Linked DNA regions of Macaca fascicularis. The protein of the gene in region 1 interacts with the protein of each later gene in a pairwise test. Links are inferred from orthologs where the notes say so. Each region holds a gene or a part of one and is shown in the gene's direction. Other genes may lie near its edges.

Region 1 (3,745 bases):
TGCTTGGGGCAGCTCATAGTGGGAGCCCAGGGGCCGCTAGATTGAATCACTTTTCTATTTTTGGAGTAGCCTATAGTCCCCTCTGCCTCTGGCTTACAAAGCCAGAGAAGGCAGGATGCCTACTCAGAGGAAAAGACAACATGCCCTCTTGACTCTTTCACTGCCAAAACGGGGCCAAGGCTCTGAGGGTCGTCTTCTCATGCAAGCATCCGTGTTCTATAAAGCCCAAGCTAAATGAAAACCCCAAACTCTACTCTGTAGTAGAAAGCACAAAACTCAGTTTCCATGCTTCGTCCTATTTTGACCCAGTTATGGAGCCCATGTTCTAGCTGACCTACACAACAAATCCTCCACCTTCGATGGGAAGAGCTCATTCGGGCCTGTTCCTAACAGAGGGCTGAAGGGCTGAAGATGTGACTTGTGAAGCGTGGGTGGCATTATGGAAGTCAAAAACCAGGAACGGAAGTTGCCTGGCAAGAGACTACAGTCATGAGGCTGGGAGGAAGGCAGGACTCAGGAGTCCCCAGGTGCCTGGAATTGCCTCCCAGATCCCAAGAACGCTCTGTACACAAAGTCGTTCGTGGCCCTTCCAGGCCAAGACTTTCTCATTCAGACTCCTCAAAATTAGAGCTGTATGGGACTCTAATTTAGAGCACATCCAATTCAAATATTTATTTTTAAGGATAAAGAAACTGAGGCCCAAGGTCACATCGTGAGAGAGTGGCAAAGGATGGACCTAAGCCTAGCTCTACGGACTTTAGTCCAAGACTCTTCCTTGTAAATCCCACAGGATTCCAAGCATCGTTCCCTTCCGGGTTTTTCTACACCTATGACCCCACCTTCACCTACCCAACCCTTCCAGCCTTCAATTCTCACCCTATTACCCGAACTCCACAAAGCTTAGTGCCCGCCCCAAGCAAGCTCACTGCAGAGGGGATTCCTCCACGTGCTTCCCTCCAAACCTCCCACCCACCCAATTCCTCCTTTCAGTTCCATCCTGAGTTACTACGGGACCCCGCCCCGCCTCCAAAATTGCACCCTCCTTCCTCTCCCGCACCTTACCCCGACACACGGGCCCCGCCCGCGCGGGAGGCCCCGCCCCTCGCCGTCTCCCCACTTCCCTTGGCGGCTGCTCTCACGCCCTGGCCCCTCTCACCGGTAAAGCCGCTTAGTGTGGAGGACTTTTGCTTCGGGCTCGCTGCTCTCCCCTGTGGGGGGGCCTTGGCTCATGGTGCCCGGGTCCGGGGGCAGCTCCCGGTCACAGGCCCCCGCCACCCACCACTACCACCACCACTGCCGTCTCCGGCCGTAGCCGCAGCCGCCGCCGCCGCCGGCCCTGCTCGGCCGCCATCGCTGTGAGGCGGCTGCCCGCGACAGCTCCTCCTCCGCCTGGCAAATCTCGCGATGGCAGCCGCACAGTTGCGGACCAGTGGCCTGCTGCTACCAAATCTCGCGAAACTCGTTTTCCCTCCCGGGAAGTTGCCAGAACTAACTCTGGGCAGCATGGCCTCTTTCCGGCTTCTCCAAACCCTTGCGAAAAACTTTATTGGCAAAGCTATCAGAGAACTGACAGTGTACCCACTGAGGCGGCCAAAGCTTAACTGGATCAGGGCAGGTGAGCTTACAGCTAGGAGGGTGACTGCTTTGTCCCACAGTGGTCATTTGGTCCATCCTTCTGCCCCTTTCCCGCCTCCCCGTTTGAACCAAGCCTCTTTCAGATTACTGGTTAGAGTGACTCCAGCTTTCCCTTTTCCCCCATAATTTAAACAAACAAAAAGTGCATGTGAAAGTTTCCTTGGAAAGGGCCGAGCATCACATAGGAGTAAAGCCCTGGAAGAAATGACTTGTACAAGCGTCTTGGCCCTTCAGCTCCCCTCCCAAAGATTTCCAGCTTGCATATCTCTTACCACCCAGTAACATTTATTGAACTGCTGTTTTCCAGCCACAGTGCAGGATTCTAGACACAGAGAGGTGAGCAAGCTAGACACTATCCCTGCCCTCACAAAGCTCAAATGACTTTAGGGATAAGGACTCATAGGAATGAGAAGCTAGTCCCTCACGTTTCTATCTCCTGATCCTCACATTGGATATCAGGGCAGGTGGGCTCACAGCTAGGAGCGTGACTGCTTTGTCTTGTTTTAGCTTAAACCTAAGTTTAAAAGCAAGGGGTTTTTTTGTTTGTTTTGTTTTTTGTGTTTTGTTTTGTTTTTTGCCTGTGTACGAATTGTAATGAGAACATAAATTGCCCTTCTACCGCTATGCTCTTGGCTTCAGCCACCCATCTTCTTTCTGTTCCTGAAACAGCCTAAGTCTTTCCCATCCATTGGTCTTTCACTTGCTGTTCCTCTGCCTGTAACACTCATACTCCTGATTTCCCATCAGGTTTCAGCTCAAATATTACCTTACCAAAGAGGTCTTTCCTATAAAAATTGTCTAATTGATTTAGTTGCTAGGCTTCTTCATTATCTGTTACCCCAATAGAACATAAGCTTCTCAAGGGCAGAGACCTTGACTGTCATCTTGTTCTCCTCTGTGTCTGCCTAGAATAGTTCCTAGCTAATAATGGTGACCAGTAAATATTTACTGAATGAATAAGTGTACAAATTCCATCTCTGGGTATCCCAGCCTACTCCGAGCACCCTTTGGTCCACAAATCCACTTTTCTCCCTCTGCTTTCCTGAGCTGGGAGCTCCTACACATTCCAGTTGCCTAGAATGTGAACTTACCTCTTTGTCCAGCTGCATCCCAACTTTCGGAAAGAATGACGACATCCTCCTCTAATGCTTTTTTTGTCGGCAGATTCAGCAGGGCGGGGCCTGCCCCTTTAATCTGGGCCCCACCTGCTCTGGTCAGACAGGTTTTGAGACACAGGTAAAGGGAGGGAGACAGAGAGAAATACTTGCAGAGCCAGCAGGTAGCTGGGCAGCTCCTTCCCGGACAGACGGACAGACGGATGGACGCTGGGGACCCTCCACTCCATATGGAAAGTAAGAGGATGTCCTGGGTCCAAACTACAAGGTTTGGAGGGCCCTTGAGATGAAGGAAGGGAATCAGTCCCATCCAGAAGCAATGAGATGAAGGGCAGCAGGGAGGGGAGAAAGACAGGAGAGAAGGCATACAAAACAGTCATGATCAGACCTAAATGCCGGAATAACAGATCCAGGCCCTGCAGAGACGGATGAGGTGGACTAGTGAGGAGTTTGGGAACTGACCAAGTACCAATGAAGGAAGAGGGTGCCTGCAACTGCCAGCTTTTTGGGACAGATTAGTTGGCAAATCACTGGTCTCACCTGGAATGCAGGAGGGTTCCAAGCAGGGATATGCAGGGAGAAGGGGAGATGGGACAGTGGAGGGGAAGCTTCTCTGTCTACATACAGCAAGATCCTCGGTAGGAAAGAAACTTGGCAAAGTTCTAGACACCTCTTCTGCCTCCTGTTCCTGCATTAGGGTGGCCATGACTCCAGGGGTTTTGGTGGAGGGGCATAGAAGGTGTGGGTGGAGGCTGACTGAGGCCACAGCTGCCAGGGCCTGTGCCCCTTGACTCACCCTCTCCTGTTGGATGGCATTTGATGTCGAAAGGGTGCCTCCATTTCGGCTGCTCACTTCCTTCCCTCCTCCCTCTGTTTCAACGTCTTCCTCTGTACCAGTTTCTCCCTAAGGCTCCAGAAGGGGCCAAAGCCCATGAAACCAGTTGCCCTGGGGAGTATGAGTTCTGTCAACCTGTCCTAACAACTAGAAGACAGGG
Region 2 (3,745 bases), on another chromosome or scaffold:
GTGAAGGGACTTTAGAGACCACCTGGCCCAAGGAGTGAAAGGGAACCTGAGAGAAAGTGTGAGCCAGCCCAAAGTCATTGGCAGATTTGACCTCGTAAATACATAGAGATGGCTTTAGGGAAGGCACTAGGAAAGAGAGAAAAGAGAAGGAGACAGTCCTGAAAGTTGATCATATTTGGGTGAGTATCATTCTCAGGGCAAATTTAGGATCAGAGGATGTAGAAGGGGGAGTCTAGAGGGGTAGAGTGTAGACCACAGGGTGAGTGGGCTGATTTGAGGATGGGGAGACTGGGAGCCCACCAGTGACCAGAGCCAGCCCTGTGCAGGGCTGTCCGGACAGAAGAAAGCAGTGTCAGACCTGGAATCTGCCATCAGCAAAGCCTGCAATTGACAGACAAGCCCAGAGCAAAGAAGGAAGCACTGCACATCAGTAAGAGCTTGCCACCAGTGGGGACAGTTTCCAGAATCAGGAAAATAATCACTGGGGGCAAGTTTGAGGCTGGTACTAGATGTGTGGGAGGAGACGAGGTGAGGGAAAGAGTGCTTGAAGTTGGAATTGGTCCTTGCAGGGAAATGTAGATTTATGAAACCCCCAAAACTGATGTCAAAGCACCTCCTGCTTTAGGCAGAGTCCTCTCTGAGTCTACAGGTGCTGCCTCCAGAACCCCCTTCCTGGAGTGCATCCCTATGCATCGAGAAATTCTGCTGGGAAATGTGATGGTCAGACCCTTGGCTGCCTGAGAGGTTCAGGCTGGCAGAAGAATCAGGAAAGCCACAGGGCAGCAGGGGCAGGTGCCAGCAAGGAAGGCGGCCACGCCAGGAAGACACCCACGGTGAGAGGTGCAGATGGCCCAAGGGCAAGTTTGCTCAGCTCACCCAGCTTTGCTCTTGCTGGGGCCAAGAGGACTCATGTGCCAGGGCCAAGGGCCCTTGGGGGCTCTCACAGCTGGCTTATCTGGGCTTCAGTTCTGGAGGGCCAGGAACAAACAAGCTTCAAAGCCAAGGGCTTGGCTGGCACACAGGGGGCTTGGTCCTTCACCTCTGTCCTCTCTCCCTATGGACACATATAAGACCCTGGTCACACCTGGGAGAGCAGGAGAGGACAGCATAGCACTTGCAGCAAGATGGATGTGGGCAGCAAAGAGGTCCTGATGGAGAGCCCGCCGGTGAGTGTGGTTGCGTGTGTGTGTATGTGTGTGCGCGCGTGTGTGTGATGGGCCCTGCCTCCTCTATCCTCCCTGGCCTGTTTCCTTATCCAGATCCATTCACTCAACTAACCTAGGACTGTGGTAAGTCAGGATGGGGGACACCAAGACCACTAAGCCTGGGACCCTTGTGGAGTTGTTCGTGGGCCGAGAGCCATGATTGGGGTCGATTGAAAGGGCCATCCGTAGACAGCTCCGAGTCAGAAGCCATGAAAACTTCAGAAGTCAGGGGACACTTCACAGAGAAAACGACACATGAGCTGGAGCCAGAATAAGGAGGAGCTCACCTGGTGGAGAAGGTGGAAGGCATTCCAGGAAGGAGGGAGACTTTGTGTCACCACATGGAGGTGATCACTTGGGGAACAGAGAGGGGCTGACCATGACTGAGATGCCAGGGGCCTGGGGGACACAGCAGGAAGAGACAGGTGAAGCAGGCTCTCTTGGGTCCCTCAAAACTAGACCCTGCTTCTAAGCTTCTATGTGTCTATGGGTTTGTTAGAATCCAAGCCACCTCCTCCAAGAAGCCTTCTCTGATCTCCTCAACCCTTCCCTGTCTGTCCATCGCATTGACCGTCCAGCCCTAGGCGGCCGTGGGAGGGTGTCCAGCTTGTGCAGGGAGAAGAGGGGCAGCCTCATGACCTCATGCCGGTCTCCCTGCCTGCCCCACTGTGTCAGGACTACTCCGCGGCTCCCCGGGGCCGATTTGGCATCCCCTGCTGCCCGGTGCACCTGAAACGCCTTCTCATCGTGGTGGTGGTGGTGGTCCTTGTCGTTGTGGTGATTGTGGGAGCCCTGCTCATGGGTCTCCACATGAGCCAGAAACACACGGAGATGGTGAGAGGTGTGGGATGGGGCGGCTGTGGGCATAGGACATGCCAGACAGAGGGGCTAGGTGGGATGGGCGATAGGAAACTGTCCAAGGGGAGTGGAGGGGAGGAGGCAAGGGGCACAGCTAGAAGGAAAGAGGCACAAACCAGGTGGCAACCCAGCCCAGGCTTTTCCACAGGGCCCCTGCCCCACAGCAGGACAGCGGCTCCCCCCAGCACCTGGTTCCACTCAGCCTCTCTGAGCTCTCGGGAAAGAGGGAAGCAAATTTGAGTACAGAGGCCTGAGGATGGGGATGGGTACCACAGGCTGAGTAGCAAAGGGGAAAACCAGGCAGCTCCATGCCCTATCCCCAGGTTCTGGAGATGAGCATCGGGGCTCCGGAAGCCCAGCAACACCTGGCCCGGAGTGGGCACCTGGGTACCACTGCCACCTTCTCTGTTGGCTCCACTGGCCTCGTGGTGTATGACTACCAGCGGGTGGGTATGCCCGGACCTCCTGACCCTGGGACCAATGACAAGGCTCTGCTAGAGCCACCCAGCTGGGCCACTTCATCCACATCCTTCTCTCCCCCTCCTCCAGCCCTTTTGGCCTGAACCCCAGATTCTAGTATAACTCCCATGCCCAACCTAGAGGGAGGTGGCTAAGGACCTGGGTCAGGGAGAGAGCAGGGCAGGGACCCCCAAATCATCTCCAGCATTCTGTGCCTAGCTCCTGATCGCCTACAAGCCAGCCCCTGGCACCTGGTGCTACATCATGAAGACAGCTCCGGAGAGCATCCCCAGTCTTGAGGCGCTCACTAGAAAAGTCCAGAACTTCCAGGTGTGTGTGTGGGTGAAAGGAGTGGGCTGTCTCCCTCCCAGGGCTGCTGGGAGGAGCGTCTGAATGGTGGCTATTTGTCACCTGTAAAGCATCGTTCCTTGTTGGCTGCCTGCTGACTGCCCCTCTCCCTATTCCCCTGCACGACTCCTTCCCTTCCCACCCCACTGCCAAGCTGCTGGGCTCAGCTGAGTCCACTCACTACCTGGTGGCTTCTGACTCTAGCACAGCCCCTCTTTACTGGTGAGGAAACTGAGGCTCAGAGAGATTGCCTGATATACCTGAAGTCCCACAATAAGGGCTGCACACGGGATACAAACTCACTTCCTAGATTTCAAATGGAATGCTCTCCGCAGGCCAAGCCCGCAGTGCCTACCTCTAAGCTGGACCAGGTGGAGGGGCGAGATGCAGGCTCAGCACCCTCCAGAGGGGACCTGGCCTTCCTGGGCATGGCCGTGAGCACCCTGTGTGGCGAGGTGCCGCTCTACTACATCTAGGACTCCTCAAGTGAGCAGGTGTGATCCCAGGGTCGCTGGGAGCGCTTGGGCCACCTGCCCGGGCTGTGGAGGAGCGCTCGCGCTGACCAGGCGCTGGGGCATCCACTGAAGCAGGGTCATCCAGGGAGCTCAGGGGAGGGGAGGCTCGCAGAATGGTACTTCCCACTCCCCCGATCCTCTCTGTCCATCTTCAACATGCCTTTGCTTCACAGGGTCAGTGGAAGCCCCAGGGGGACAGGAAACGCCCTGGGCAAAGGGTCTTTTGCAGCTTTTGCAGACGGGCAAGAAGCTGCTTCTGCCCACAACGCAGGGACAGGCCCCGGAGAAATTGGAGTTTGGGTAGAGGATGGGAGCGGGCAGAGGTGGTGCCCAGGGGCCCTGGAACTCCTGCCACAACAG

What was found.
Region 2: the proteins of TMEM79 (region 1) and SFTPC interact in binary tests that used the Homo sapiens proteins (3 or more experiments, as listed by UniProt). The two-hybrid records come from large-scale screens. The link is inferred for Macaca fascicularis from reciprocal best matches to the Homo sapiens genes TMEM79 and SFTPC.

What each region holds. Positions count from the first base shown.
Region 1 is NC_088375.1:104,793,440-104,797,184, reverse strand, and holds the start of TMEM79 (transmembrane protein 79), read left to right. Parts: upstream 1-1,473; 5' UTR 1,474-1,615; intron 1,616-2,887; exon of another isoform or gene 2,888-2,987; intron 2,988-3,745. Other genes in the region: nonsense-mediated mRNA decay factor SMG5, read right to left, coding at 1,157-1,230.
Region 2 is NC_088382.1:25,233,067-25,236,811, forward strand, and holds the start of SFTPC (surfactant protein C), read left to right. Parts: upstream 1-1,094; 5' UTR 1,095-1,124; coding exon 1,125-1,166; intron 1,167-1,259; exon of another isoform or gene 1,260-1,289; intron 1,290-1,783; exon of another isoform or gene 1,784-1,847; coding exon of another isoform or gene 1,848-1,880; coding exon 1,881-2,039; intron 2,040-2,386; coding exon 2,387-2,509; intron 2,510-2,741; coding exon 2,742-2,852; intron 2,853-3,205; coding exon 3,206-3,346; 3' UTR 3,347-3,364; intron 3,365-3,558; 3' UTR 3,559-3,745. UniProt on the Homo sapiens protein: Pulmonary surfactant associated proteins promote alveolar stability by lowering the surface tension at the air-liquid interface in the peripheral air spaces.